Struthio camelus: one gene and its partners. The protein of the gene in region 4 interacts with the protein of the main gene of each other region in a pairwise test. Links are inferred from orthologs where the notes say so. Each region holds a gene or a part of one and is shown on either strand. Other genes may lie near its edges. The genes, in order: PPP1R3B, PPP1R7, PPP1R16A and PPP1CB.

The links.
Region 1: the proteins of PPP1CB (region 4) and PPP1R3B interact in a two-hybrid assay, tested with the Homo sapiens proteins (2 studies listed by BioGRID and IntAct). The link is inferred for Struthio camelus from reciprocal best matches to the Homo sapiens genes PPP1CB and PPP1R3B.
Region 2: the proteins of PPP1CB (region 4) and PPP1R7 interact in binary tests that used the Homo sapiens proteins (3 or more experiments, as listed by UniProt). The link is inferred for Struthio camelus from reciprocal best matches to the Homo sapiens genes PPP1CB and PPP1R7.
Region 3: the proteins of PPP1CB (region 4) and PPP1R16A interact in binary tests that used the Homo sapiens proteins (3 or more experiments, as listed by UniProt). The two-hybrid records come from large-scale screens. The link is inferred for Struthio camelus from reciprocal best matches to the Homo sapiens genes PPP1CB and PPP1R16A.

The regions. Positions count from the first base shown.
Region 1 is NC_090945.1:3,001,808-3,010,037, reverse strand, and holds the start of PPP1R3B (protein phosphatase 1 regulatory subunit 3B), read right to left. Parts: upstream 3,249-8,230; 5' UTR 3,166-3,248; coding exon 3,152-3,165; intron 2,605-3,151; exon of another isoform or gene 154-2,604; intron 146-153; coding exon 1-145. UniProt on the Homo sapiens protein: Acts as a glycogen-targeting subunit for phosphatase PP1. Facilitates interaction of the PP1 with enzymes of the glycogen metabolism and regulates its activity.
Region 2 is NC_090950.1:3,846,107-3,853,959, forward strand, and holds the start of PPP1R7 (protein phosphatase 1 regulatory subunit 7), read right to left. Parts: upstream 3,120-7,853; 5' UTR 3,056-3,119; coding exon 3,013-3,055; intron 2,287-3,012; exon of another isoform or gene 2,209-2,286; intron 2,047-2,208; coding exon 1,924-2,046; intron 1-1,923. Other genes in the region: PASK (PAS domain-containing serine/threonine-protein kinase), read left to right, coding at 4,064-4,148, 4,323-4,538, 5,641-5,876, 6,890-7,060. UniProt on the Homo sapiens protein: Regulatory subunit of protein phosphatase 1.
Region 3 is NC_090943.1:172,443,229-172,450,525, forward strand, and holds the start of PPP1R16A (protein phosphatase 1 regulatory subunit 16A), read right to left. Parts: upstream 3,325-7,297; 5' UTR 3,301-3,324; intron 1-3,300. UniProt on the Homo sapiens protein: Inhibits protein phosphatase 1 activity toward phosphorylase, myosin light chain and myosin substrates.
Region 4 is NC_090944.1:108,070,767-108,078,152, reverse strand, and holds the start of PPP1CB (serine/threonine-protein phosphatase PP1-beta catalytic subunit), read right to left. Parts: upstream 3,288-7,386; 5' UTR 2,988-3,287; coding exon 2,936-2,987; intron 1-2,935. UniProt on the Homo sapiens protein: Protein phosphatase that associates with over 200 regulatory proteins to form highly specific holoenzymes which dephosphorylate hundreds of biological targets.

The DNA of each region.
Region 1 (8,230 bases), on a different chromosome or scaffold from region 4:
CTGGATACAGGGCCGCAGCGGTTTAATTGGCTTTGGAGCAATTTTGCAGGCACGCTTCTCTCTTCGCAAAGGTGAAGGGCACAGGTACAGCTGCATTGCTATATCCACAGCCATTGCTTGTTTGTGAGGAAAGTAGTCTAAAACTCTGAAAGATAAGAAGCGTCAGTTTATGTTAGAGGAACCTTTTATGAACCTGACTTGTCAGACCACTGCTACTCTGCTTCCTCCCCTCCCTCCTCAGAGCTTAGCTTCCATCATCCACCCCCAAGTCCCTAAAGCGTCATTAAAGGCAAGTACTTATATGGTATGATGGACAGACATGTTCAGAAGTGTACTACAGCAGAAGAGGCTGAAGCAGAGCTTCTTGTGTCCTTCAAGCACAGGATCACCTCCAATTGCAGCTGGGCCAAAGCAACCATTTGAAACAAACCCTGCCAGGCTAGCAATAGCAGCCTGTGGAGCTTTTTTGACCCAAAGCAAAAGCCATGGCTGTGTCAGGTTTTGTGGTCAGCAGCAGGACAGGGATCATCACAGACTCCAGTGCGACCTAATGCAGTATTTCTGCTGTAGCTTCCTCCCTCCAGCAGAGACTCTCCCCACTGCACCAGACGATTTTGTAGGAACAGGAACCCATTTCATCACAAGCTGCTGTGTGCAACTGACCTCACCTTTCACCGAACCCTGAGCAGCAAGCTTTTTCAGAGGGAAAAAAAGCAGATACACCATGCACATTTGTCAGGTTGAACTACAGGTCAGCTGAGACAGTCCAGCAAGTTTTTTACCTCCAGTGCAGAGCTTGTTCCTCAAACCTCTGCAGCACTTGTGCCAAGCCTCTGGGAGATGTTGGCACAGCCACAGGGCTCAGTCAAGCACACCTACTCAAGGCTTACTGAGGCTTTGAAAAATAAGTACTTCCTCCAGAAGGCTCAGGCTGTGTGGTCCTCCACCACAGCCTTTCCTTCTCTAGGATCTGGCCCATACTTGGAGGGATGCAGCAGTCTCCTCTCTGGAGGAGCTTCCACTTGGCATTATTGCCTAGAGCTGCATCTGCAGGCAAACAGTTCTTAACACATCTCACTTGTCATTCCTTCCCTTACATTGAAGCTAGATTGGACATTCTTGGAAGAATTGATTTGGCCTGGCTCCAGATAAGCTCCAGGACACAGATTTATTGCATCCCTCTTCATAATCAGCTGGGGCACACCTGACCTTCAGCTCAGAGTATTCTCTGAATAAAAATTCCCTGCTTGACTGCAGATCATGCTCCAAACCTGCTCCCACTGCATGATCCACTGTGAGCCAGCAGCAGTAGTAGCAGTCCGCTGACCACATGATACACCAGTGCTCAAGCTGCCAAAATACTCCTGGCCAGCTCCAATACAGGACTGCAGTCCCCATGCCAAGAAAAAGCAGAACAACACTCCTCCGATTCAGCCCTTTAGCTCCCCACCCTGCAATGCCAACAGAGCAGCTCTGAGGGGTCTTTCACAGCATCCATTCAGCAAGGGCATCTGCTTATTCAGAGTACACATGCCAAGGCCTGCTCCTCAACACACCCACCGCCTAGCTGCTTCTGGGCAGCCACATCAGATGGACAGCAGACCCACCTGTCTGCTAACACCATTCTGCTCAGCTCTACCTGGTTTCACCAAGTTTTTATTCATACATGCTTTAAATAAGTCACTTCCTCCTTTAAAATAAGGCAGCCTCTTATCTAGGTCAGCTTCTCCATTAGTCTCATCTTTTCCCAGCAGAAGTTATTTAACTGAATTCCCATAGCTGCAAAAAAACCCAACTTTTCTTAGTAAGCCTCAGATATTCCTGATTTTTTTTTTTAAAAATGAAGAGGCATGCAATATCCAGCCCAATTTGCATTACTTAGTCCTTAGTGTGGCAAAAGGTCCACAGTAGAGCTTTTCTTACCCACTATTAAATTGAGCAGCCCACTCCACAAACTGGCTGCAGTTTCCAGCTCGTGTTATGCTCCAGACCTCACTTTCAGCTCTTGATTTGAGGTTCAGCCAAATCCCCAACTCACAATCATACAGAGAACAGTCCCCCTTTCACAGCTAATATCAGCCATAACTCCAGATAGTTTGATGGTGAGAGCAGAAAACATAAGTTTTAAGAGCTCACATGGCAAAGCGAGTTCAGGAAGAGGAGGAAGCAAGGCAGGGGGGAAGAGAGGCAGCCCTTTGCAGTTATGGAGACAGCTTCCTTTTTCCTCCTCTAAAAAAGGAGGGAGGAGACTAGACTTTGCTGTTTGTACCCAAAAACCTCTTCTGGCAGTTTCATCCTCTCCAGGAAGAGACATCCCTGCTCATGCTTCCCTCCATTTTCAAAAAGGAGCTCAGAGCAAGGGAATTTTTCACATTCACAATTATCAAAAGCCTCAGATTGCAGAGGCAATCTGCACCTTTCAGCACCACTTTTATGTAGGCTCCTTCTGCTACCCTTCACTGACAGCTTGACATGCAGCAGCCCTCAGACCAGCTGCAGGAAGTTTTTAGAGGTTATATGCTGCCATTCTGTTTTTCAGCCCTCCATCACTCCTGGTTGGGAAAAAGGCCAAGCTGTTCCTACAGTCCAGCCCTGTCCTTACAGGCAAGTATCTGAAGTCCAGGCAATGCATGTTAACCCTGCTATAGCCAGTCTCCTCCACCCACATGCACAAAGCACAGCTCTTCAGGCCTCTCCTATGCAGCTGAAACCAGATGAGAGAGCCAGAAACAACCAGGTTTCTCCTCTCTTGGAGGAAGCTGGCACAGAGCCTGGCACAAGCCACAGATCCTCCACCAGCACCTTGCCTCACAGGAAGCAGAGGCAGGAGGCCTAACAAATTCATCACTGCCCCAGGGCTACCCCTCACAGCAGCTGTGGTCCACCAGGCCCAAACAGCCAGGCTTGGGAGGGGGAGGAACTGATGTAAGAAATCAAGGGGGCACCCCAGAAGCCAAATCCAAGGCCAGAGCAAACCCCATAGGGCCTCCACAACTGAGACCTGTGAATATCATCACCACAGTGATGAGGCCAGGGCAGAAAGAGAGCTAGGACAGACCCACTGCCCAGGTACCTCAGGCACTCGCTGGGGAGCAGGGCAGACACCGGATGAAACCCCCCCCCCCAACATGCACGACCCCCCCGGCCGTACCTTGTGCAGTGCATGAGATCCCCACTGCCGGCCCGACCCGCTGCCCGCGCCGCTCCCGGACCCGGCGCCTTAAAAGCGCCCGGCCGCGCCGCGCCTCCTCCCCGCACCGCCCGCCCGCGCGCCGCAGCCAATGAGCGCACTCCGAACGCGGCGGGCGGGCCAATGGGCGGGCGGTGCGGCGGGTGAGGGGGGGGGCACCCGCGTCCCCCCCCCCCACCCCGCGGCAACCGCGGGCGCTTACGGAGGGCAAAAAAAGGGGGGAGGGTGTGCATTTATTCTGGGCACTTGCGGCACCCCTGGGTGCTGAGAGCCTGCTCCGCCCTGGCTGGGTTTAATCTGCCCGTGGGCTCATCCAGGCTCCTTGGCTTGGGATCACGATGCAGCCTTGAGGCTTGCAACACCCCCCCCCCCCAAAAAAAAAAAAAAAAAAAACTAGGCGACCCTCCCGTACGTGGAAGGGGGGAACCTCCTATTTCAGCCCCCTCTGTCTGAGTTTGTCCCGTCAGGAGGTACAAGCTCTGTTTTGGGCCTCGGACGCTTGCTTGGAAGCACGGAGAAGCTTAGAAGGACTGAGCTTGGTGGAGGATGCATACAGGCAGATAAGAAGGGCTACAGGATTTTTATTTTTATTTTTATTTTTATTTATTTTATTTTATTTTTTTTTTTTTTTTACTTTTTTGCTTGTGGCAGGAAAGCCTTTTTTGGGCACTGATCTTCTTGACTGGGCTGGCTCAGGATGTTTCGGCGCTCGGGTTTACTCGCACGTCCACATCTTGTGACTGCAGCGCCAGCCAGCAGGTCTACGCTGACGCTGGGTGGGTGGGGAAGCACCTCGATGTGGAAATCTCGAGGGGATACTTCGACACACTCTTTCCTGGCACCGTTTATGGTGTGAGACGGAAAAAAACGACTTCCTCGCAGAAATGACTTTCGTTAGGAAAAAAAACACCTGCGGGACCCGACAGGCGCAGAGGCCAAGGCGAAGGGAGTATCCGTCCTGGCTTGTGCGAGGGGCTGGGAAGGCGTTTCTGACACTCCGGGGGTGTCCATTAGGCAAGCTGCTGCTCTGGCATGGACCCCTGCTCGCATTGCAAGAGGCCAGCCAGGTTAGGGAGTCTCCGTGGCTGCCCTCCTGCCACGGGTCAGCCTCTCTGCCCCCCGAGACTGCTCCCGAGTCCGCTCCAGCGCGGAGTCCCACGTCTCCAGCGATCTCCTGCCACGTGCGTGCAGGGAAGTGGCTTTGGGAGCGAGAACTGGCGCCGCGGGCAAGCAGCAGAGGCTGTAACACCTGCCGGGAGGTGGGGACGGTGCCTTCTTCCCGTGGCAACGTCAGGGGATAATAGCGTTTGCTTCTCTTTTGCTGCATCTGGCCTCTAAGTGCGCAGCTGTGAGCAATGCTCTCTCTCCCCTCCCCTTACAGAGCATAAAAGCAGGGATGAAGCGTTGATGTTTGCTTGCAAGCAACTTGTGGGAGCACACACAGAGCTGTTGTTAAACCTGGAGACTCCCTGCTGTATGCTGTAATTTCGTAAGCTTATCACTCTGTGGGGCGGAAGGATTTCACTGAGGGAAGACGAGCATTGTTTTAGCCTTAGAAGCTCCCATTCTTAGACAAAGGAGATTGCAAGGAGATTTAGAGAAGTTGGGGAGAGAGAGAGCTGAGAGATGTATCCACTACAGCAGCCTTGCAGGCTTACGGCAATGTTTTGCCTGCCCCGATAGGGTGGTATTTCAGCATGTGCTATTTAGCGAAAGGTTTTCAGCAGGGCTAGGAGGAACTGTGGTCGGATTCGCCCCAGGAGCTATAGAGAGAGCCATGTACGGCTGTCAGGCTCATGGGCCCTCTCCACTGCTTCCCTGGCCTCCTCTAGGCAGGGTCGCCCCGACCTGGGCTTGGCATTGCAGGTTTGGCCTGTCAGACAGGGCCAAGTGGAAGTGGTAAGTTTAATGAGATGGCCCTAAAAACAGGGAGGCCCCAGCCTAGCTTGTGCCTGTTGCTCTGCTCCATCACAGGTTTCTTGTGACACGCTTGTGTGACAGCTGTCTGAGACCACAGAGATGCTGAGGGAGATACTGGCTGGCCTTGGAGCTGTGAAAATTTTGGTAATCTGGCTGTGTGAACTAAGAAGCTAATACATGCAAGGTGGCTTAGGGTCTATTTCTGCTCTCTGATTAAGGCCCTGTTTGCCGTGGCCAGGGCAGGGTGTTTCACAACTGCTGCCTGGTATTTGCCCCCAAAGCAAAGGTAGGTAGAAATCGGTGCGGGGCGTTGTGGCGGGCTGTGGACACAGGCTGTTATCTTTCGGGAGCTGAGATAAGGGCTATATTTAGCTCTGTGCTTGGCCCTTGCGCGTGGGGGGGCTCAATGGCTTCCACACACACCTTTCCACCCTTCCTACTGTGTCAGGGATGGGGCAGAGCTGGACTGGCTACGGGGAAGCCCAGCGGGCTCAAGTAGGTCCTTGGGGACCCTTTTGGGCTTTGCCGCCACAAGGGTTTGGCAGCTCCCCCCCACCCCACCCCAGGGGGAGAGGGCTGGCGAGAAAGGGCAGCGGGGCCCGGCGGGTTGTGTAATGCCGCCGCGCTGCGGCGGGGCCAAGGCTCAAGGGCGAGTGTTGTAAACCTGTGGGATGGGATGGGTCTCCATCCCCAGGGACAGCAGCAAAGAGGCTGCGCTCCTCGTGCTCTGACCTGTTGCAATGGTGAGGCTCGCCAGTGGTTTCCAAACTGGCCGTACTGAGAAGCTGCTGCTGCCTTTGAGCCAGGCCCTGGTGTTTACCTCAAGCAGAGGAGGGGTTTTCTTTTTTTTTTTTTTTTTTTTAAAAAGTCCATTTGCCTGTGACAAGGCCGTGAGGGCAATGCTGAAGTAATTTTCACCAGGTGTTGCCTCATGTCAAAATGCTGAAGGGGAGACTAATTTTGGAGTCTTTTTTGTCATTGGGAACACGTGATCCAGGAGGAAAGCCTGCCCAAAATAGTAAAGACTATTTTGGGCAGCGCTGAGGCATGGCAGGAGAGTTGGGGCCAGTGCGGGGCCCTGGGAGCAGTGGTGGGCGGCCGTGGGTCTTACTGGCCTCCAGAAAGGACATGTCAGCAGCTTAGTTGTGTATCTGTCCGGCTGCCAGTCCTGCCTCATCCCTACCTCAGGTCTGATGGGCATCACCTGGTAGCTCCTGTGCACAGCTCCCATAGGGTCACAGCAAACCCTGCTCCACCAAGGAGAAGTCCTGCAAAGTCCCGCTGGGTGAGGGGAACCCTCTCTTTTATTGCCACAGGGTGCAAACTCCTGCAGCTGCCTCAGGAAATTAGGCAGCAAGCGTTCAACATCTGACAGCGTCAAAGGAAATCCTGCTCTGGGTCTCCTGACTGTGTGGCGCCGTGAGGCAGTGGCCCCATCACCGCTTCTGGCTTCGTCCAGAGACGAGGAGCTACTGCAGCGCACTGGCAGGGAGCCCGAGGGAGGAGATTTACCTTGGCATGGCTCCCTTTGGATCTCATGTGGGCAGAGATGGTCAAGCACCCTGAGGAACGTGTACTCTGCCCTACTTAAGGCTGTGGCACCTTCCGCTCCAGCACAGAGAAGACAATGCGGGGGCCAGACACAAAAGCTGGCCTGGGGCTGTGTGCTGCAGAAAACACCAGGCGGTTTAAAACTGTTGCCTCTTAATAATGAATAGGCCCAGCAACAGAGACCGTGAAAGTCCTTGCAAAATGGGTGGCTATGGGGGAGGGAATGAGTGCAGCGAAGTTACAAATGAGTCCTAAGGGAAGCTGCTCCCCACAAGGAAAAAGGGAGTGAAGAGTGACGAAATGATTGGCAGGCAGGAACAACAAAGAGGGAAGTCCTTGGCCAAGCACACAAGGAGATAGTCAAAGATGTTACGGTGATGCAAAGGTGAGGTCCTGTATGCGGGGTACCAAGGTTAAAACAACCTCTTCTTCAAAAGCTGGGAACCTAAAAGTAGGTGAGTCGCTCCAAGGAGAGAAGGGGGGGCCTCCTGCTCTCTGAAGGTCTACAATGTTCTCTCCAGAGAGCTGCTCCATGACCTTGCTTTCATGCTGTCTACAGGTTTCCTTGCCATTAGTGAAGCCCTGGGAAAATCATCGCAAAAGCAAGGAGGTTGGTTGTCTGCCCCAAGGTTGCACTAATCAATGCAACAATGGTGTACCTGTCCTTACAGGGATTTTTCTTGAGAACATCCCTTTCTCCCCTAGTGAACATGGGGATGGAGACCTATGGACTATGCTTTGGTTGATGCAAAGAAACACGGTGACTTGCCATCTCCTGTGCTGTTTGTTTGCAACCTGGAGTTACCTGGCTGTGTCAATGTGATGTGCAAAACCTGTCTGTAAGTTGTACATGCCCTCCTACATGAAGGCAACGAGCAGCATAGAGACACAGCCTCTTGAAGGCAAAAGCTTGGACTAGAATCTAAAATCCTCAAAATTCACTGTATGCCCTTGTAGCAGAGGGACAGCAAGGTCTCTGGTGGAACGATGAGGGAGATTAAATTATTTTAATAATTATTTCCGTTGATACAGTAATGTGATTGCAGAGAGAGAAGAGAGGCTCTGTTCCTCAGGCAGGCTAAATCTGTCCAGATGCATTGACTCCAGCATCGCTTGGCTTGTTTACACCACCCGAGTGTCTGGCTTGCTGGACTTGGATCTACCCTCGATGCACAACTCATGGTGAAGCAATGTATGTTTTAACTGTGGTGCCCTAGAAAGACTGCAAACCTTATTTGATGGGGAAGATATCTTGGGAACTTGCATGTAGCCAGACTTGGGGACTCTGAGGGCAAATTCTTGCGTGACAGACTGCACTTTGCTTGCAAGTCACTTCTTGTATGCTGACAAAGGCTGAGAGAGGAGGTCAGACTGAGTGATGCATGTAGTTCTTGGTAATACATACAGTCCTAAACTCTCTTCAAGGGTTCATGCCTCTCAGATAGGGCTCTTTCAGTATCTAGGCTCTCTCTACTGCAAACGGAATGGTCAGTCCCTCCCTGAAACGTTTAGTCTCATCCTAACATCAACGTCAGTAAAAGATGGGCTCACTTGCTTTCCAGGCTTGCC
Region 2 (7,853 bases), on a different chromosome or scaffold from region 4:
AGAAATATTGCTCCAGCAGTGAAGCTACTTAACTGAGTTTTTATGTAACCCATGCCTGTAAGCTACGCAGCTTTGCAGATGCAGGAAAAACACTACATTTGGGAAACCCAAATTCCGCAATACAGAACAGTAGTTACAGAGTTACGTAATTCCACAGTACCACAAGTATTAATTAAGAGTCTAACTGCACTTTTTAACTGCAAATGCATGAAAAATGTTATAAATATCTAAGCTATAAGCTTCCTAAACAGAGCTGCTATTCTTCAGAAAAATTAGCTGAATGAAAAATGTGAAGTTTCAGCTGCTTGAGTTCTCTCTATTTATGTTCTTCTGTGGAAAGCATGGAAAACTGTTCGTTGTCCTTCACCTGGGCAACTCAACAGCTGCCTACCGAAACTAACTCAAACGTTCCAAAGTTATTTCCTCTGCTTGGTCTCTGTTCTAGTTGAAGTTTGCTGAATCCTACCAGCTCAGAAGAAGAAGAAATGACAATACAGTCATTAAATAAAATAGTCCCAATATAATCCATCCACCAAATCTGAATTACCTTCCTGCTTTAAACTGTAATTAAAGGAAAGACTTCAAATGGCATATTTTCATATTATAATTCCCAGAGGAAACAACATACAAAATATAACTTTGAACATGCAGCTAAATTACGTTAGCTGAATGAACGCTCATTATGCTACATGCGTGCAAAGGAAAACAATGAACGACTGATCTGCTTGTTTTGCTGGCCGTACAGTGCTTGCGCTCTACAATTCCCAAGATGTGCTCCTTCACTTTCATAGACAACATCACACCATTTCGCAATTAATCACAGAAAACTATATGTTAACAGTGAATTATACCTAGAAATAGAGATCATTTAATTAGGAAATGAGAGTTCAAATTCTCACAGTAATTTACTACTTTAGAAACTATTTTTGCAAACTCTAAGGGACAAGGTTAAGAGGGATTTGTAAAAGAGCAACAGCCAAAAAGGATCAAAACACAGCGGAAAAAATTGCTATATTGTTTCACTTTTATTTCCAGGCCAATAGTTACTCGAACGCGTCCATCAGAAGGACGCTATTACATCTCAAATTATCAGGGCGTTCTAGCTCTAGATCTATTAGAGATTTAACTCTTTTTACTCCAACACCCACCAACCAGCACCAGAAGTTCACATAATGTTGCCAGCTGGGGTCTTCAGAGATGGATTTGCTCTGATAGAGTTTAAGCAAGTTACTGAAAAATAAGTCTTTCTATCAAACACACACAAGCTTAAAAAAAGCCTGTCAGAATTTCTACCGCGCTATACTAGTGTAAACAGTAAAAACAGTAGCAGGAGTTCCAAATCAAGAGGATTCAAACATTCAGATACAAGTATTTTGATACATCTTATAATTTGTAAATGTCTAAAAAAACTAAACAAAAGAATTGAAAGCTTCCTTCGATCTATCTAGAAATAGTCTCCTTTGCCTTCCAAACAAATCCAGCAATTTAAAAGTAAAAAAACTACATAACACTAAAGCAGAGATATAAAGAGCTGTTTCTATTCATTTCTAATGAACACTTGCAGCATCTTTCTATAGGAAGTTGCTACTACTTTACCACAAGATAGGTATTAGTAAAGATGTTTCATACTTCGATCTTAAAGATTTCAAAGAGAAGCGTGGTTTCACACACGGGTAAATAAAAAATAATAATAGGAAAAAAAAAATCCCCAAAATCTAATGCCAATGGTTCCATAAAAAAGAGGCAGCTCTGTTCTACCAATGACTACCTTACCACTAATTTTCTCAAAAGAGCTCTAAGAAAAAATCATGAGGTTAATAACATTACCACATATAGCCATGGAAAAGAGAAAGGATCGATGCACAGATACTGCTGTAAGTAAGAAGATCCCTCCTAGGGTGATCAATTAGATTGGCTGGGTACCTGTGCAGTTCTCACCATTCTGCTCCTCTTTCAGGCTCTGCTGACTGAGGTCTGTTACTAAGCAAGCTGCTTGCTTCTTCCCTTCTTCATCTCCCGACTCCTCCGATTCAATCCGCTTATCAACTGCACAAAATACATAACAGCAGATTTAGGCTACTTTCGTGAGCGGGGCAGAGAAGTAGCAAACAAATATAATAACCAGGACTCACATACACCACTATGCAGTTAGTAGAAATCCTAAGTTAACTAAATTAAAGGTTTAGTCTTAAATAAAAGGCCTCTTACCCCTTGTTTCTAGTTTGATTTTGGATGCACTTTTTCCTCCCTTCAGATCTTCCTAAAACCAACAATCTGGGAAGAAGACTGGAGGAAAAAGGAGATTTCTTAGATCAAAGGAGTGCAGATCCAAAGATTACGGAGATGGAATTATAATTATTACATTGTAAAAGCTTTTAGGAAAAAAAAAAATCAGTATCTTGTAAAACAGTAACAAAGACGTGAAGTAGTAAAAGCTTCACAAAAAAAAAAAAAAAAAAAAGAAAAAGCCAATCCCAGCAGATAAAGTAACCATCTCCCCAGCGTGATCGCTCCATCGTTTCCCCAGCCGCAACTCCGGCGGCCGCCCTGGCCCCGGGGAGCCGAGGTCCTTCGTCCTGGGCAGCGCACAGGCACCCCTCAACACGTACACTCCCCTCACGGGGTGGCCGAGGGGAAGCAACGCCATGCCAGGGCGCCGCTTGGTATTATCGTCGGGTTTTCTTTTTTTAGGTCACGCTCACCTCCACACACCCACTTCTGCCACCTCCCGCGCCTGCAGCCCCCCGGGGCGGGGGGGGGGGGCATCACGCTGTGCCCCAAATAGCAGCCCCACCCTGGGCGGCGCAGCACGGCCCAGAGGCCCCCGACGCCCCGGCCCCGGCCGGCAGCCGCCCCCGGGGGGACAAACATCGGAGTCTCCCACACCTCGGAGGACCCGGCAGCCGCTCCGCCCGCGCCCGGCAGCCGCCCCGCCGAGCGGCAACGGCTGAGTCGCGGCCCGCCCCGGCCCCGCAGCGGCCGCGGCCGTGCCGGCCCCCGGCGGGCTCTCACCCTCCATCATCTCCTGCGGTCCCTCTCCGCTCTCCGCCGCCATGTTGCTTCTCCTCCCCCCCCTCCCCCGCCCCCGCCCCCGCCCCCGCCCCCGCCCCCTTCCGGAAACCGTCGCAACGGCCGCCGCCGCCAATCAGAGCCCGCCGCCGGCGAAGGGCCACAGCCAATCACCACTGCAGGTGGTGCGCCGTAAGGGGAGGGGCGGGGCCCGGGCCGCCTGTCAGCTCCCGCGCATGCGTGCGAGCCCGAGCCCCGCTGCCTCCTGGGAGTTGTAGTACCCTGTGAGGAAAAGGAGGAAGCCGCCTGGCATTACTGCGGGGGCGGGGGGCGGTTCCCAGCCCACCAGCAGCCCCTCGGGCGTTACGAGCTGTTTCCGGCTTTTTCGTGCCGCTAGGGAACCCTGGCCCTTGCAGAGGGCTGGTCGTCCTCGGCTCCCCCACACACCTCCTCCCAGGCCGCGAGAGCGGGCAGCCCGGCGCGGCCCGGCTCGGGGCTGCCCGCGGGCAGGCATCCAGGCATCGCAGGGGCGCGAAGAGGGCTGCGGCGAGGGACAGAGAGTCCGGAGGGCGCTGCCCATTCCGCAGCGCTCTGTCAACGCGCCTCCCGCCGCTGCCGCCCCGGCCCGGCCGGGGCCTCCTTGGCAACGGCAGCGCGCGGCCGCCGGGGACGGCTTTGCCCGTTCGAGCGGCCCGCCGCCCCGCGCCTCGGCGCCTGATTGGTTACCCCGCGTGCCGCTCGCCCACCGCCTTTGCTTATTGGGCAGCGCGGCCGGAGAGTCCCGCCCCTTGTTTGCTCGCGCCCGCGGCTCTGTGGTAACTCTCTGAGGGGCGGCGCGTCCGGGCCGGGCCGGTTCGGCCGGGCCGGGGCTGCCCCGTGCAGGGGCCGAGGGAGGACTGCGGGGGGCTGGGCTGGCCCGGGCTGCCCGCCGCGGGCGGGCTGGGGAGGGTGGCCGGTGCGGGGACCGCCCGCCCTGGGCGGGAGGGAGGCCGTGCGGCGGTGGCTGAATCAACGTCGAGAGTTACTGCACGAATAACCTGCTTCTGCTCTGAAAATGAGCAGAAACGGGGAGCGAGTGGTGGCCGGGGGCTTCGGTCGCTCTTCTGGAAGCGCGCTGGCGAAGTCCTGTTGTGCCATAGGTGATGCTGGCAGCACAGACCACAAGTCCCACCTGGCCGGGCAAAAGCTAGTTAGCGGCAGTCTTGCCACAGCTTGCAGGGCTGTGCTTTGGACTAGAAGGCCTGTTCTGCCAATGCTGTGAGCGCTATTGCCTGACCGCGGGCCTGACTGAATTTGTTACGCTTCTGTTACAGGTGGAGGTTTTCTAGGCGCGCGATATGGCAACCAGGCTTTGACTATGGCAGCCGAGGCAGATAGCTCCGCTGAAGAGGGCTTTTTGCCTTCGTCAGCAGGCTTAGCCCTTCATCACTTGAGCGATTCTGATAAGCTAAGTAGATCCTACCCCTGGGCCAGCAAGAGCAGGAGAAGTCAGCTTTCTGAACTCTGCCGGCGCAGAGCCTCTCTCTCCGGTGAGCACATGAAACGCATGTGAATGAGTTTGCGTGTTGTCAATGAAGACGATGATTATTCTTTCAGATGTTTTCAGCTCTTCTTTCTCCCTCCCCCCCCAAAAAAAAAAAAAAAAAGCTAGAGATGATAGCAATAAGCAGCTATTAAAAAGCTCTTATTCAGGCTGGGAGAGTTCTGGGAGGACGTGTCGTAGTATGCTTGCTTTGTATTGGTACTCCTGCCTGGGCAACCTTTATTGGCTGCCACTGGACCAGGCTGTCCTGGGCTTGCAAGATACTTGGTGTTCTAAATATTATGTTCTAAAAAATGAAAAAATTGCCAAATAGGGAGGAAGACGATATTACAGTAGAACCTGTTGAGGAGGAGGAGAACTTTTCAGTTTCAAGCCTGTCCAGATATGGATGTCTCTGTTTTATCATGGTCAGCATATCCATGCTGCATGCAGTGCATAAATGCAGAGGTGTCCTTGTAACGACTTGTTCATACCGCGTCCTCCAGCACAGCTTGCCTTTGAAAGCTATTTGCCCCTTTGGGCGCAGAGTTTGTTGCCGATGCCACTACCTGAAGAAACGCTTTCTACAGGCAGAACTTCTGAAAATTTTAGTACAATCTCTTGGCACTGCATAACATAAAACATTGGTGTGGGCATAGGTATTTCAGTGTCAGCTCTTGTGAGTAGTTAATTTACTGGCTTCTGACTAACTCAGTATTTAAAGAGGGCTTGAACGCTTACAGTAATTATATTTAATAACAGTTTTAATTTTAACTTGAGAGAATTCAAAACCTATCCTTTAACTCTGTTATCTTAAGCGAAAGGAAAGTTGACTAGTCTGGTTGAATTTTATGCATGTTGGCAATGTTTTCTAGCCCGTGAACTGAGTTTAATTGTTCCTGTGACTTACAAAGACATGTTTATTAGAATTGTTTCTGTTATCTTTAGTTTAATTGATTTTGGTATTTTGTAATTTCTAGGAAGCGTATGTTTTGAGTTGAAATTACTTGACAGCTATTTCAGCTGACAAACAGTTTTTTTATTTATTCCTGTAACTACTCCTGTAGTAGACTGCTAGAGCTACATAGCCGATCTTTATCTTCTCACAGGAGAGAAATGGAGCTCTTATTGTTTGTCTTCGCTGGCGGCTCATAACATTTGTTCCAGCAAAATTGGTAACTCTTGGGCTCGGTGGGATTCTGCCTCTCTCTCCAGTTCCATTGGTAGTCCTGCTTCTTGTTCCTTTTTGCATGCCCTTACTGTGGAGGAATCCAGCCAACACCTTGTAACTACTGCACGCAATCCGAACAAAGCCGTCTTCACGGTGGATGTCAACACAACAGAGGTACTTGCCGTATCTGTTGCAGTACGAACCGCTAAACAAAGCAATGCGTACCTAGTATAGGTTGTGTGACATCATGTAGGCTCAAAAGCTTGTTATTCCTGTGTTTGTAGGCAGTGTCCAAATTATGAAGCTTTTTGATAGTCTGCTCAAGCTCAGTGATTCTACAAAGACGGACAATGCATGTATTTCCATTGTAGGTTGTAGTCGGTAAAGTATACAGGACAATATCAGAAGCACTGATGTCTTGAGTCTTTTTTCAAACAGAAAAAGAGAATAAAGAAGAAAGCAGTTGTGATGTGGCATGAGGGAAGAACAGAAAAGCAGAAAATGTTTCGAGCCTTATGACAAGGAAGAACCTTCACTGGGATGGGCTCATGGTGACATGAGGTCTCTGTCTGCCCCAGTACATATGCCTTTTGCACTGGGAGAGAGAATTTCTCTGTTTTTGTCCTGAGAGTAAACGTTAGTATGAAACTGAGTACTGAAAACTGTAAAGCATTGTTTCCTTTTTAGCTTGAACTAACAGTTCAGACCTCCCCATCATAAAGAGAGAGGGGCTAGACACTTAATTGTGACTTGGTCTGTAAATAGGCTTAAGGCTGTCAATTGCTGTGGTTTTTGCACATCTTCAGGGCTCGATAATATTCTGTGGCCAGCCCAGATTTTCCTTGAAAGTGCAGCTCTGTGGTTTTGCCTCTGTGGATATAATTATTTAAACAGCACAAGAGGCTGGAGGGGATAGGCAGTTATAAAGCCAGAAGCTTAAAAGGAAAGCCATGTCTCACACCTTCTTAACAAAGAAGAGGCTTGGGTGAGGGTTGTCCTAGAACAAGAAGTTTTAGTGAGTTGAGTAGTAAGATTTCAGAATTAAAAAGGGCTTCTCCGTTTCCACTGAGAGAGGAAGTGATATTATAAGACATTAACAGATCATCATGCTGTTGCTTTAAAGAAACTTACAGCTCTTCTGTGTTTTTTTTTTCCTTTTTTTTTCTTTTTCCTTTCTGCTTTTGTAGATTCTAGTGGCCAATGACAAAGCCTGCAAGCTGCTTGGATGCAGTAGTCAGGAACTCATTGGTCAAAAGCTGTCCCACTTGATATCAAAATCCAGTCAAGATGTTGTGGAAGCTGTAGGTGAGGAGTACATAGAAGCTGATGGATGTACATCAGTGGTTTCAGGAACTGTGGTATGTGAAATGTTCCAGCAAATATTCCCCACCATACACATCTTTTCCAGTTTGAGGGGTTTGGGTTTTTTGTTTTTTGAGGGTTTTTTTTTTTGTGACGTTTTCAATATTATTTCCTGATATAGGTAACTTTATGGGCATTTGGCAATTAAGTAATTTGTAGGACTGTTTACTTGTGCAGATACGGGCACTCAAAGGGTAAAAGATGGTTTTGGTAGGCACCCGTGAGATCTTTCTAGCTGTCAAACATGTATAGTCATGATGAAGTGATCAAATAAATGCTTGAAGGACACTAGATTTGAAAAACAAAACAAACAAGCCAAAAACTATATGGATTGCTTAGCATAGAAAAATTTATTACTGAAAAGTTCCCAGTTGTCTTGGGTCTCTTGGAATATCTTTTAAATTATCTTAAATTGCATTGTGCACATCAGTCAAATACCATGAAATGGCTGTGACAAAACATCTTAGATGCAGAAGAGCAGAACTGATGTTTTGCCTCTATGGGGGTTATTTATAAGAGAACTGCATGAGAAGCCTCTAAAAATTTCTTTCTTTTGCTGGTATTGTGAGCTGTCACTAGAAAATATTTGGAAAATGAGCTCCTGTTCTTCCTGGTGTGTTATTTTTGTACTCAGGTTGTCAGCATCTCAAAGCTTGATCTTCCTGAGCCTTCAGTTGGGTTTGGGAAGAAAAATCCAAGCCTGAGTAAGTGAAATCCAGAATTAAAATTAAATGGTTGGTAAAGACACAGACTCTAAACTATAGCAATTCCAAATATTTTATTGGCTGT
Region 3 (7,297 bases), on a different chromosome or scaffold from region 4:
CCCAAAGTCTCTGTGGAATTTAAGAGCGGGGTCACCCAGTTAGCGGGGTGGCTGCTGCCTCCCAGCGCACCGGCCGGCTCGCCGCCCGCCGACAGAGCCGCGGGCCAGCACGTAATCCTCCCCGGCAGCAAACGCAGCTCGTCAAAGACGGAGCAGATCTGGTTCAGCGATTCCTCGGAGAAGGAGCACTCGCCGCAAGGCTCTCGGCCACGGCAGCACGCGCGCTGGAAAGCGGCGCCGCTCCGGAGCCGACCGAGCGGCACCGCCACGGGCGCTGCCGGCACGGGGAGCGCTCCGCTCCACCGCCAGCCCTCGCGTGGCTGAGGCCTCGCTCGAGAAACACGAGTGGTTTCCCGAAGGCGGCAGGCCGCCACGCTGATCTTTAACGCATTTCTTTAGAGCGATTGGTTTCACCGGGCCGCCAGACTCCTCCGTAGGCGCGCACGAATCCCATTAGCATCGTAATACTTAGCAGTGCTTAGCACTTACATTGTACTTTCCACCTTCAAATGCGCTTTCCAGACATTAACCAATTAATGGGATCAGTAAGAGGAGTCGGAGCCCAGCTGCGAACGGCAGGAGCACAAACCGCGGTACACGGAGAGGTGAGGGCAACTCCGGAGCCGGAGGCAGAGCGGGGCAGCGGCCAGCCAGAGCTCCCGCCTGCCTGCAAGCGGGAGGAAGGCAATCCCCCTCCTCGGCCCCCCGAAACGAGAAGCTCCAGCTCGCTCCGGCTCCTCGCGCCGGAAGGGGACCTTCAGAGCAGCCAGCAGCGAACGCAAACCGATTAAAAGCGCCCGCCGGGCTCCGCGGCCGGCCGCGGCGCGCCCTCCCCGAGGAGGGGCCCCGCAGCCAGCGGGACGCCAGGAGCTGGGCAGCCTTCGCTCCCGCCGGCGTCCAGCGCGGCAGCAGTTAACGGCAGGACACGAAACCGCCAGCTTCAAGGTTCAAACTAATCTCTGGCTGCAGAGATTAGGACGAGACCTTCAAAGGGTGCAGATTATCCCACATTTGCTTACTTAGAGCTTTTCGGACGCTTCCTGGGAGGCAGCCGCAGCAGCTCCACGATACCGGCTACGGGGAGCCCCAGCCGAAATCCGAGTTAAATCTACGGTACTACTATGGGTTAACCACCAAGTTTTAACACGGCCCTTTCAGCGCTGGTTCGTATCAGTGCTGCCCATTACCTATGTCGTATCACAGGGCTTAACATACGCTCTTTTCAGACGCTTCTGATTTTTAATCGTTTAAACAGGGAATGATATTTTTTATTCACATCAAGCTACGTTTAGCTGGAAGTTAAAACGCACAAAAAGAACCCAAGAGAATGAATTATGCAAAACAGAACTGCCAAAACGAACTAGGCATACAAGAAAAGTAAATCATCAAAAAATTTGACATTTGAAACTAGCTAAAGCACAAAGAGTTTGACATTTGAAACTAGCCGAAGCACAAAGGGACAGGCCTGAAGAAGTTAAAGATTCCCCGCCATTTCCTATTCTGGAGACAACCGAAGGAGCAGCATCCTCACGCTCATTAAAATGGGTGGATGGCTCACATGCACAGAGCAGCTTCCTCGCTAAACGGCGTTAATGGACACCAGCAAACGCAGGCGGTAACGCCGGACATTACACTTTCAAATTTCTTTCCGACCGTGTACGCTTTTAAGAAAAAAAGCGCTCATCTTTTATTTATTGCTCTTCACATAACCAGCATCGATTCCCCAGGGGTAGAAACGGAGCAACGCGCTGACCCGGACCGATGAGCTCGGTGTTTCGCCGCAGCGGCCGCCCCGAGCGTCCCGCGGGAGCAGCGCTGCCCGCGCGAGGACGGAGGGCCCCCAGCCGAGGCCAGCCAGGGCTCAAGCGACCTAAGGCAACTACCTTAAAAGCGAGGCTCGGCGGGGAAAGGCGGGTGGCGTGGGATGGGCAGGGGAAGCCGGTCTCAGGCGTCCTCGTCCTCACCTAGGGCAGGCGAGGCCCCTGCGCTGGCAGCTCACGCCCAGGGAGGCTCTAGGAAAACAGGTTCTTACAGGTTTTTTAAATACCTGCCGAGGCATCCAGCCCGCCCGCGCGCCTCCTGCGCGGCCGGCTGGCGGGGGCAAGGCCGCGCCGGCCAGTGGCTTCACGCAGCGGCTCTCCGTCCCACCCGGACACCAGCCCGAAGCGGCACCTAACGCCCGGCTCCAGGAGGCGGGTCGGGGAAGACCACCTTCCCCGCTGTTTCCAAGTGTTTTCTCGCCCAGCTCAAGTCCCTCCGAGCTCCTCTCCCGGAGGAATACCCAACCCACGAGTGCTCCGAGCGGCTCCACGGAGATTTAGGCAGCCCCCAACTGCTCTGACACCCCCAAAGGCCCCCTAAGGAACCACTGGCCGCCCCACAGCCAGCGGCCAGGAGAGCCCCCAGGCTCCCCCGGCACACAGCACAGCCCGCCCGGCCCCGAAGGCTTCCCCCTGCCCCACGGAGGGACTCAGCCCCCCGCCACGGGCTTGGGGGCTCATCCACATCACCCTCCCGGTGATCCTGCCCCACTCGCCACGCACCCCCATGGGGGATTCAGCCCTCCCTGGGAGCCCCCAGGCCATCGCACCAGGGATGTCCCAAAATACACCCCGAGGGAGGGAGGGGGGCCCTCCACAGCTCATGTGGGCTGCCCCATGGGGGGGGACCCCCCACATCCCGAGGAGGAGGATCCCCACATCCCGGGGGGGGGGGACCACCGAAGGCCCTATGAGGGGAATCCCCCTGCATCCTGGGGGGGTCAACCCCGACATCCCAGGGGGGCCACCAAATGCCCCATGGGGAGATCCCGCCCATATCCGCCCCATATCCCGCAGGAGCCAAGCCCCATATGCCGGGGGGGGGGCACCAAATGCCCCCTGGGGGGGGATCCCCCCCCAGAGCCCAGCAGAAAGGCCCCCCCAAACACCTCAGCACCCTCCCCCCACATCCCTTGTCCCCAAATGCAGCACAGGGGGCAGGGAATGTCCCCCACAGCCGGGGGAGGGGGGAGACCCCCACACCCTGTGAGGGCCCAAACGCCCCACAGATGAGGGGATCCCCCCCACTACCCGGGGGAAAGCCCCCCCCACACCCCCTGGGGAGGGAGCATCCCACAGCCGGGGGAGGGGGGGACCCCCACACCCTGTGAGGGCCCAAACGCCCCACGGATGGGGGGGGGAAGGGAGCCCCCCCCCAAGCCCAGGGCCGCCCCTAGACGCCCCACGGAGGCGGCCCCGGTCCCCCCTCCCCGTCCCTGGCCCAGCCCGGGGGCTGCCCCCCCCCCCGCCGCGGCCCTACCTGCCGCCGCCGCCGCCGCCGCCGCCCTGCCCGGTGTCGTTCCCTGCTCGGGGCGGGGCCCGCGCGCGCCGCCGCCGCTCGCCATGGCAACCGGCCACACTTCCGGTCCAGGCCGGAAGGGGCGGGGCTCCGGCGGGAAGGGAGGGGGCGCCCCCCCCCCCCCGCTGAGCCGCCATGCGGAGCGTGGCTGGGCGCCACCCCGCCAGGCGGAGCGAGCTGCCACACTCAACATGGCGACGGGAAGGGAACGAGAGGGGAGCCCGGGGCATGCTGGGAGCGAGCGAGGGAGAGGCCGCCGCGGAGCGAGCGCCCCCTGCTGGCCGGCGGGGGGGGGCACGACCCTCTGCCCTGGGGTCACGGGGTCACCGCCGCCTGCCCTGGGGTCACAGCCCAAACTAGGGGTCATGGGGTCACAGCCCCCTGCCCTGGGGTCATGGGTGTCATGACCCACTGCCCTGGGGTCATGGGGTCACGGCCCCCTGCCATGGGGTCACAGGGGTCATGGCCCCCCCGGGGTCATGGGGTCACTGCCCACTGCCCTCAGGTCATGGGGGTCATAGCCCCCCTGGGGTCATGGGGTCACGGCCCCCTGCCCTGGGGTCACATCCCCACCTTGAGGTCATGAGGTCACTGCCCACTGTCCTGGGGTCACAGGGGTCATGGCCCCACCCTGGGGTCATGGGGTCACGGCCCCCTGCCCTGGGGTCACCAGGGCTCATGGGGGCCCAGGGATCATGGCCCCACCCTGGGGTCAAAGGGTCCCAGGGTCATGGGGGCCCCTGCCCTGGGGTCATGGGGGGATCACAGCCTCTGGCCCTGGGGTCACAGGGTCATGTGGGGTCACTGCCCCACCCTGGGGTCATGAGGTCCCAGGAGGTCACGACCCCCCACCCTGGGGTCAGGGGTCACAGTCCCCTTCGCTCTGGGGTCGGTGGAGGTCGGCACCCCTTGCAGAGCTCTGGGGTCCCGGGGGGACCCAGGGGGTCACAGCGGGTGCTCCCAGTGGGTCCCAGCCCCCAGCGTGGGTCCCAGTGCTCCCAGTGAGTCCCAGCCTTGGCTGCGGGTCCCAGTGGCTCCCAGTGGGTCCCAGTCATGGCCGTGGGTCCCAGTGCTCCCAGTGGCTCCCAGTCCCTGCCATGGGTCCCACTGGGTGCCTGTGGGTGCAGCCCCCGCACAGCATGCCGGTGAGGGCCCCCCGTGCAGGGCTCGATCCCACCCTGCCACAGCCGGGCCGCCCCGTCCAGCTCCAGCCCCTTCCTTCCCCAGCCCCATCCCCAGCCCCATCCCAGCCCCAGCCCCATCCCCATCCCCAGCCCCATCCCCATCCCAGCCCTAGCCCCAGCCCCAGCCCCAGCCCCATCCCATCCCCATCCCATCCCCATCCCCAGCCCCATCCCATCCCCATCCCCAGCCCCATCCCCAGCCCAGCCCCAGCCCCAGCCCCAGCCCCAGCCCAGCCCCATCCCATCCCATCCCCATCCCCATCCCAGCCCCATCCCCATCCCCATCCCCATCCCCATCCCCATCCCCATCCCAGCCCCATCCCCATCCCCAGCCCCATCCCATCCCCATCCCCATCCCCATCCCCAGCCCCAGCCCCAGCCCCATCCCCATCCCAGCCCCATCCCATCCCCATCCCCAGCCCCAGCCCCAGCCCCATCCCCAGCCCCATTCCCGTCCCCATCCCATCCCCATCCCCGTCCCCATCCCCATCCCCATCCCCATCCCCATCCCATCCCCATCCCCAGCCCCATCCCATCCCCATCCCCGTCCCCATCCCCATCCCCATCCCCAGCCCCATCCCCATCCCCATCCCCAGCCCCATCCCCATCCCCATCCCAGCCCCATCCCCATCCCCAGCCCCAGCCCCATCCCATCCCCATCCCCATCCCAGCCCCAGCCCCATCCCATCCCCAGCCCCATCCCATCCCCATCCCCATCCCAGCCCCAGCCCCAGCCCCATCCCATCCCCATCCCCAGCCCCATCCCATCCCCATCCCCAGCCCCATCCCCATCCCATCCCCAGCCCCAGCCCCATCCCATCCCAGCCCCATCCCATCCCCAGCCCCAGCCCCATCCCCAGCCCCAGCCCCATCCCAGCCCCATCCCATCCCATCCCCATCCCCAGCCCCATCCTCATCCCCATCCCCATCCCCATCCCCGTCCCCATCCCCATCCCCATCCCCATCCCATCCCCACCCCCACCCCCATCCCCATCCCATCCCATCCCATCCCATCCCATCCCATCCCCATCCCCATCCCCATCCCCATCTCATCCCCAGCCCCATCCCATCCCCATCCCCATCCCATCCCCAGCCCATCCCCAGCCCCATCCCATCCCCATCCCCATCCCCATCCCCATCCCCATCTCATCCCCAGCCCCATCCCCATCCCCATCCCCATCCCATCCCCATCCCCATCCTCATCCCCATCCCCATCCCATCCCCATCCCCATCCCATCCCCAGCCCCATCCCCAGCCCCATCCCAGCCCCAGCCCATCCCCATCCCCAGCCCCATCCCCATCCCAGCCCCAGCCCCAGCCCCAGCCCCAGCCCCATCCCATCCCCATCCCCATCCCAGCCCCATCCCCATCCCCAGCCCCATCCCATCCCCATCCCCATCCCCAGCCCCATCCCATCCCCATCCCCAGCCCCAGCCCCAGCCCCATCCCCATCCCAGCCCCATCCCATCCCCAGCCCCATCCCCATCCCCATCCCCATCCCATCCCCATCCCCATCCCCATCCCATCCCCATCCCCATCCTCATCCCCATCCCCATCCCATCCCCATCCCCATCCCAGCCCCAGCCCCATCCCCAGCCCCATCCCAGCCCCAGCCCATCCCCATCCCCAGCCCCATCCCCATCCCAGCCCCATCCCCATCCCCAGCCCCATCCCATCCCCATCCCCAGCCCCATCCCCAGCCCCATCCCCATCCCCATCCCCATCCCATCCCCATCCCATCCCCAGCCCCAGCCCCATCCCCATCCCCATCCCATCCCCATCCCCAGCCCCATCCCCAGCCCCAGCCCCAGCCCCATCCCCATCCCAGCCCCATCCCATCCCCAGCCCCAGCCCCATCCCCATCCCCATCCCATCCCCATCCCATCCCCATCCCCAGCCCCATCCCCATCCCCAGCCCCATCCCCATCCCCATCCCATCCCCATCCCCAGCCCCATCCCCAGCCCCAGCCCATCCCCATCCCATCCCCATCCCCAGCCCCAGCCCATCCCCATCCCAGCCCCAGCCCAATCCCCATCCCCATCCCCATCCCATCCCCATCCCCATCCCCATCCCATCCCCAGCCCCATCTCATCTCCATCCCCATCCCCATCCCCATCCCATCCTCATCCCCATCCCATCCCCATCCCCATCCCCATCCCCATCCCCATCCCCATCCCCATCCGATCCCCATCCCCATCCCCATCCCCATCCCCATCCCCATTCCCAGCCCCATCCCCAGCCCCATCCCCATCCCCATCCCCATCCCCAGCCCCATCCCCATCCCATCCCCATCCCCAGCCCCATCCCCAGCCCCATCCCATCCCCAGCCCCATCCCCATCCCCAGCCCCATCCCCATCCCATCCCCATCCCCAGCCCCATCCCCAGCCCCATCCCCAGCCCCAGCCCCATCCCCATCCCATCCCCATCCCCATCCCCAGCCCCATCCCCATCCCCATCCCCATCCCCAGCCCCAGCCCCATCCCCATCCCAGCCCCATCCCAGCCCCATCCCAGCCCCATCCCCAGCCCCATCCCAGCCCCATCCCCAGCCCCATCCCCATCCTCATCCCCATCCCCATCCCATCCCATCTCCATCCCCATCCCCATCCCCATCCCCATCCGATCCCCAGCCCCATCCCATCCCCAGCCCCATCCCCAGCCCCATCCCAGCCCCATCCCCATCCCCAGCCCCATCCTATCCCCATCCCCATCCCATCCCCATCCCCAGCCCCAGCCCCAGCCCCATCCCAGCCCCAGCCCCAGCCCCAGCCCC
Region 4 (7,386 bases):
AAAAGTTAAGGCATTAATGCATGATGAGTCTCTTGGACTATGGCTCAACTGAGTCTCTCTGAAAATCGTCCCCAGTTTAAACTCCAGTGTTAATGAATGTGGCTTCCAGCACCTGAATGATCTCTTCTAAAATAAGAGCACATTTAGGATAAGCAAGTATTCACATGTATTGAGGGTTAGGAAGATGTTTCCAATGAGTTCTCCCAAGCAGCCTGGTTATAGGCCTCCTCATATTGATAACAAGAAAGAAAGAAAGAAAAAAGAAGAAAGAAGAAAGTACATGCACCCATGGACGGTAAGATGATCCAAGTATGTAATTCTGATCAAAAGGCAAGTTAATGCGTCATATAACCTGAAATGCAAGTGGTCTTGAGCAATAAGGGTAAAAAACAGTTAGAGTAACCTAATTAAGTAAGAGCAAGGACTCATGACAGCTAGTATCACAGCCTAGAAACAGGTGTCCCCAACCAGCAACTCAAGGGCATTAAGGAAGCTTCCTGTCACTGCGGCTTTTGATATGCGTTTGCTACCCTTTGAAGTTTACAAGCAGCAGCAACTGAGAGACAATTGTAGACTGTTGTTTAAAGTCATCCATTTAACATTAAAAGAAGGACTAAATATATTGCATCCCAACATTTCATGAAAATGTATTTTGAATATATTAACGTGCACCTGTATACAGCTCAAAAGCTGCAATTCCTCACTATTTAAGCCAAAGCTGAAGTGAGGGGGAAAGCAGTCAAAAACTTATTTTAAATTAATTGCTCCAGAGCAAGGGTTGATAGAAATTTTTCCAGGTTGTTGGGGGGGGGGGGGAGGAGGGGGAGGGGTGCATACACTGACAGGAGCTTATACTCACTTTACCACAATAAGCCAGCTAAGCAACACCATGAACTCCAGAATGCTAGCCATCCAATTGTACAAAAAACTTCCCTGTGAAGACTAACATTTGGACCACAGCTTAAGCTATAATACACCAGCAGCACAGGAAATAAAAGATGTCAAATGCAAGCAAAGCAAATTCATATATAGTGTATGTATTCTTTTAATAGTTTCTCAAATACAACCTAGAAGAATCTATTCCCTTTCTGAGGCGATGAGATGTTGTAAGAGGCACTCCTATTAGTAGGTGACAAGCAGAGAAGACACATGTCCTGCTTTCCTTAAAAATCTTCCTAATCTCTGCTCAGAGAGAGAGAAACAGACTGAGAAACAGAGACACAGAATTATAAAGAAAGCTTGCTTAAAGCTATGTATGTGCAACTTCTGAAAGATTAAAGTAGTACAGAATAAAAAGTGCAGATTAGGTACTCTGTCATAGCTCAAAAATGTTAGAGATACAGCAACATAAAGCATTTATAGCATGTATGAAAAGCCAGGAATAAGTATTTCCAAACTCTTGCATTAAAAATAAATAAAGCAAGCAGTGTAGCATTTAAGATAACAGACAGTAGCCCAATACAAGTTGCATCCCGAAACACTGGAGAACTACCTATTCTTCAAGCAGTCTATATTTAAATAGCTACACAGATGAGCAAAGAGAAAAAGAGAGGGAACAGTACCCTTCAAAGATTTTTCAAATCTCCTTCTTTTTATAAGGACATACAGATATACGTACACATTTTGAAAGCCTGGGAAAAAAAGTATTAGGAACGCAGTATTTCCTAGGTTACTATGTGGTTTGTCTTGAAAAACTACCTTCATTACTAAGCTGGGTTTCAGGGTCCAGAAAAGTGAGGTTTATCAGTATCAGTGAACAGAGACACACTTTGCTAACTGATGATACCTGCAGGTGTTCTTTGCATTATACTACACTGCATATCTTTCTTAAAGTACAAACATGAGCACAACTGGCCAGAGCCTTATGTATTTTTAAAATACTGATTGTTAATCGTTTAAGTCAATTAGCAGTTTCACTTATAAAAAACATACGATTACCAAAAAGCCACAAAAACTCTGCAGTAACTCAGTTAAACAAAACATTCAGACTTTTTCCTCTCCCAGAACTGCATATGCTTCTTAAACTACTTTCTGAAAGCCTTCTGCTAAGTGATCCGAATATTCAAACACAGCAACCAAATAAGTGGATAATCGTCTCCACCATACTAGGTATTTGTCGAACACGGAATGGAAGACTAACGTGAGGAGAGGTCTGAGACCAGATACTCGAGACATCATTTACACAGAGGAAAAACGTTAGGAATAATTCCTCAGCTTCTCCATAAACTGGAAGGCAGCTAGTTTTCTCCTTATTTTAAAGGAAAGCATGACTGTTTAACACACACACAAAACCCCTCGTAGCTACTAGTCTTGTAAGAGACTAGACTCAGAGCTATCCAGGCACCCGAGAGCAACCTCTGGAGACTGGCCCATAGGCAGGCAGGCAGAGTAACACTCAATCCCTCTGCTTCCCCCGACACCCACACACACGCAACTCCACACCTAATCTTGCTTAGGCATATAATTTTACGCACGGAGGACTAGGAGTATCCTCGCTGAGGAAGGAAAGGAAAAGGCCGCCAACGAGGCTGCCCTAGCTCCCCCCTCACCGGGGCGGCTGCCGCGTGGGAAGAGCGCTTGCAAAGCTTTTTAAAAAATAAAAATAAAAGAAAACAAGAAAGAAAGAAAAGAAAAGAAAAGCCGCCACTTCACCTAGAGCGGGGAGGGCTCCCCCCTCACCCCAGCGCGCCGAGGATGCTTAAAACCCTCTTCCTCCCCTCCCCTCCGAGGGCCCCGAGCCTGGCCCGGCCGCGCCGAGCCCGCTCTCCGCCGCCCCCCGGGGCCGGGTGCGGGGGAGGCGCTGCCGCTGCCCCCGCCGCGGGGCCGCCCCGCCCGCTCCCCCCGCCCCGCGGGCAAGCGGCGGCAGCGGCTCCCCCTGGTGGCGCCGCCACCCGCGCCCCGCGGAGGGCGCAGGCCCGGCGGGCGCCCCGCTCACCTTCCAGCAGGCGGGTGATGAGGCTGTCCACGTTCAGCTCCCCGTCCGCCATTTTGTGGCCACCAGGCTCGGTCCCAGGCGGGGAGAGGGAGGAGCGGAGGGCGCTTCACAGAGGAGGAGCGGGGCGCGCGGGCGGCGGCGAAGACAAGTGGCTTCCCCCCCCCCTCCTCCTCCTCCGACGGTCCCCTGGGGCCGCCCGGCTTCTCCCGCGCTGGCACCCGAAAGCGCCGCTCCCGCTCCCTCAGCGCTAAATGGGGGGGGAAGCGCCTACCCCTCCTCCCCGCGCCTCCTCCCCGCCTCTGAGGCCGCCAGGGCGCATGCGCCTCCTCACCCCTCCCGCCGCCCCGCGCGCCAGCCACCGCGCAGGCGCAGAACGGGCGCGCGGGGGGGGGGTCGGCCAGTGCGCACGCGCGTAGCGTCACAGTCCCTCCCCCCCCTCTCCCCGCCTGCCCGTGGGTTTCCTAGTAACCGGCGGGCGCGCGCCGTGGCCGTTGAGGGTCGGTTGCCGGCCGGCTGCGGTGAAGCAGTGCCCGAGGGTGCGCACGGGCAGACGCGGTCCTCCTCCACCGCTGTCTGGGCTGCCCAGCAGCCCAAGGCAGGCCTCGCCGACCTGCTCCCCCTGGCTCTCGGTCGGCCGCCGTCCGTCCCGTGCAAAGAGCAGGGCGGGGTGGCCTTTCCTGTCAGGGTGCCGGCAGCAGGCCGCCCTGTGGGGGTTAGCCAGCCTCGCCGGCTGCCTCCCAACTGGGTATCCGCTCCGAAGATGTTCTAACGGCTGTAGGGATATTTGGTGCTCCTTGTGATGCCCCACCTCCCCGTGACATGTTACTGCAGGAGAATGTGCTTTACTTTATGCGGAGGTTATGTTTCCAGGCATCAATTACAGGGAGGGAGGAAAAGAAAAAAGCCAAGAAAATGAGTCCTAGTGGGCTGCGTGTAACCTGTGTATCACCCCTTCTGCTGCTGAAACTGCGCCTGTGAAAGCTCACAGTTTATTTTTAAAGAAGTCCATCAGAACTGGAATGATAAGTTGTGCTCTTTGTAGCCACGTTTTAACACAGTTGTCAGGAAGAATCTCCTAACTAATACGGTTTATATTTCATTGTGGCTGGAACTGCTAAAAGTACTTTTTTTTTTTTCTGAAAGAGCATTTCTGAATGATTTCTGAAACCTTTTTTTTTTTTTTTAAGAGGAGTGCTCAAGAGCATGTTAGAGTGCATGCTCTTGTCAATAGATGCTTGCCTAGATGGACAGAATCTAAAAAACAGTTGATGAAAGCTGCTTGTGAACTGGAACAGCAGATTGAAATGTATGCATGCTGACAAAATATAGCCAGCCATCCCTTTTGCCAAAGACATTGCAGATGTTCTAGAAAAATCAGGCCACTTATTTATCTGCCTAAATATAGATGTTGATATAGAAACATCTATCTGAGCTCAAATTCGAATTTTTCCATTGACCTATACAAGCCAGCAAAATCCTCTCAGCTAAAATAATTTCAAAACCTAGTTTTTACTTCATGATTAGGACAAGATGTATATGAGCAAAATGTAAGTAATTAGGACAAGGCGAGACAATGATTAGGCGTCAGATGATGCTAGGTGGCCAGACAGTCCGGTAGTAGAATGCTCTTTTGAAATACATAGGCAATAATAAAGTTTTGCTGGATACATTGAAGGAAGAGGAAGAACCTCTGGAAAAAAAAAAAAGAAAGATGTTGCATCCCCATTTGTAGGTAGCATCTATGAAAATGTAATTCCAGCTCATCTGCTGAAACTATATTCTTTTTTATTTTTCAATTTTTCCCAGTAGTGAAAATCTAAATAATGCTTTAAATCTTTCCTTCATTTTTTTGTCAAACTAAGAAAAGTAATTATTCAGCTTTACAAGGGTATTCTTGATATTAGCTATTTTATTGCTGCCAAATTTAATAGATAGGCAGTCCCTCTTGAGTTTTTAAGAATTGTCCCAATTTCATTTCACATAACCAAAACTGCCCTGAAAGTTATTTTAAGCCAACACAAATTCAGGTATAATAATATTATATAGTCATAGAACATTCTGCATTGACAACAGAATGAGAATATGCAATGATCTTTCACTATGGCATAAAGATACAATTTCTTTGTCTCCAAAAACTCCAGAAGATATTAAACTTCGAGATATGTTGAGCAAAACATAATCCCATAATAACTGTTTTTACTAAGCATGTCAGCATGTTCCAGAAACAACTCGGTGGCATATCATAATATCAAAATAATTTAATAAGCAGAGATGCTGTGGAACAGAACACACTGCACAAGGGTTGAAAAAAATAGCTTATTTTTTCCTTTCTGGATTCTGTACCAGTCTCTTAGTTAATTTTACCCTATCACATCATGCCCTTGCGTTCTTGAGGGACTCTGGTAAATACATTAAGTTTGGTTTTCTACTCTATTTCACTGCTTTTCAGTTTTCTCCATATTCTGGAGTGAATGAGGCGTGGCATTATGCTGGGTCATAGGATGAGGAGAGATTGCTCACGCTACTCAAGATACTGGAGGAATGAAACTTCAGGACTCCGTTCAGTTCCTGCCACTGCTGGATCTCAGCTCTCATACCCCGCCAAGGCTTCTTTCCTTCTCCAGTAACTCATGGAATAGGAGCTTTGCTGGATCACAGAGTTCTTCCCCTGCTGTATTTGGATCATGAAAAGGGAGGGTGGCCACCACACTGTGCTGCGTAACTCTGTGTAGTCTGCCCCAACGTGCTTCGGAGCTTGAGCAGGGAAAGGAGTATGAGAGTCTCTTAGCGAATAAAACTCGACAGACCTTGCGTTCTATAATGACATAATTCCATTACAACAAATAGAATTAAAAGATCAGAGAATGAGGCCTGTTTTCTCCTGTGATTCAGAAAGAAATATTTAATGTGGACTGAATGCATTTTCTTTGATCAAGCAGAAATGTTAAGTAATTTTTGACATAATAGCATACACAGATACAGACCAAAGATATCTAAGTGGTGATTTAAGTAGCAGGAGAAGCTTGAACGTTGCTGATGCCTTTGGCAAACTCTCCTAAATAATGCTCATCTTTCTAAACTTCCTTTCAGTTATTTTGAAATTTCCTCTTGTGTCCACAAACATGGCTTTGCTTCTAACTTTCCCCCGCTCAGTCTCAGTGCCATTTACCCTAAATACCCTGTGTGTCAACTCTCCTCTCCTTACCCACCTGCTGTCTTGAGGTGTGCTTTAATTTGCAGTGGCGTTCTGTAGCATTTTCAAGACTTGAAGGACAGAGATTTCCAAAGGTGGTAAAAAATTGTATGTTAGTGTCATTCTCAAAAATGGGGCTCTCAGAACGAGTTCTCACTTGCTCTGCTATCAAGGCTGTTGCATCCTCAACTACAGAACACGGTTTCAGTATCTCTGATGTTATCTGCTCTTTCCTAGTAACCTTACATTGCTTCAGCCGGTATGTCCCATTACTAATGGCACCGACTACATGCTCTTTTAAGTTACTTGCTGTGCCATTGTAACTGCGTTTTTCAAAAATCATGGCCCCAGCTACATTGCCCTCCTAGCTCTGTCATGAATTATCTTACAGAAAACACACAGCAGCACTTTACAGCGTTATTCAAGCACTATGGCTTGCTTCTAAACTGTTGTATCACTTTTGCTGAGTGTATCTTAGGGCTGACTACAGCTTTTACGCAGATGGGAGGAGGAAGCAGGGAGAAGCAATATGGCCTGTGGTTAGTTTTCCGGCATGTAATTAGGAGCATGTTCTCACTGGGCAGTGGTAGCTGGAGCAGTGCTTCCTTCTCAGTCTCTGTGTTTGTCCAGTAACCAAGCCACTGCAAGCGGATTTTGAGCACCTAGCTCAGTTTCCCACTTGATTTAGTAATCAGAATCAGCAAAAAAGCTGTGTACTTCCTTAGGACAATTTATGTACACAATGTTCACGGACGTTTCTTTGGACAGAAATGGTAAGAAACTGCATCAAGGTAATCTCAGAATATGCAAAGACTGCAGATGAATTATCACTATTTTCTTCCAAAAGTTTAGATTCAGAGACAAGTGCAGAAAACCAATCAGATTCTGCTCTTTAGCATTCTGTGTCTCTTTTTTCTTGCTCAGTATTTGCACTAAAGCTGGGTAGATAATAGGTTTCTTTATATATTCAGAAAGCTTTTTAAAAAAATATTACTGCTCCAGACTGAGCTGAAACAGAGATTTTATCAAGTTTCCTGAGAAATTAGAGAGGAAGGAAAACAAACCCAAAATAACCAGTGGTTTGAATTTGCAGGCAGTTACCTAGGATGTGAGAAACTCTTCTCTGAACTGTTGCATCCTAGGCAGGTCTCCCGTTATCCCTTTTTGAACTGCCACACTTGGTATAAATAGCTCAATACCTGTTGGAGCGAGGACCTGAGTTTGGATCTGTTATGCATCAGATGCATGCCGTAATCAT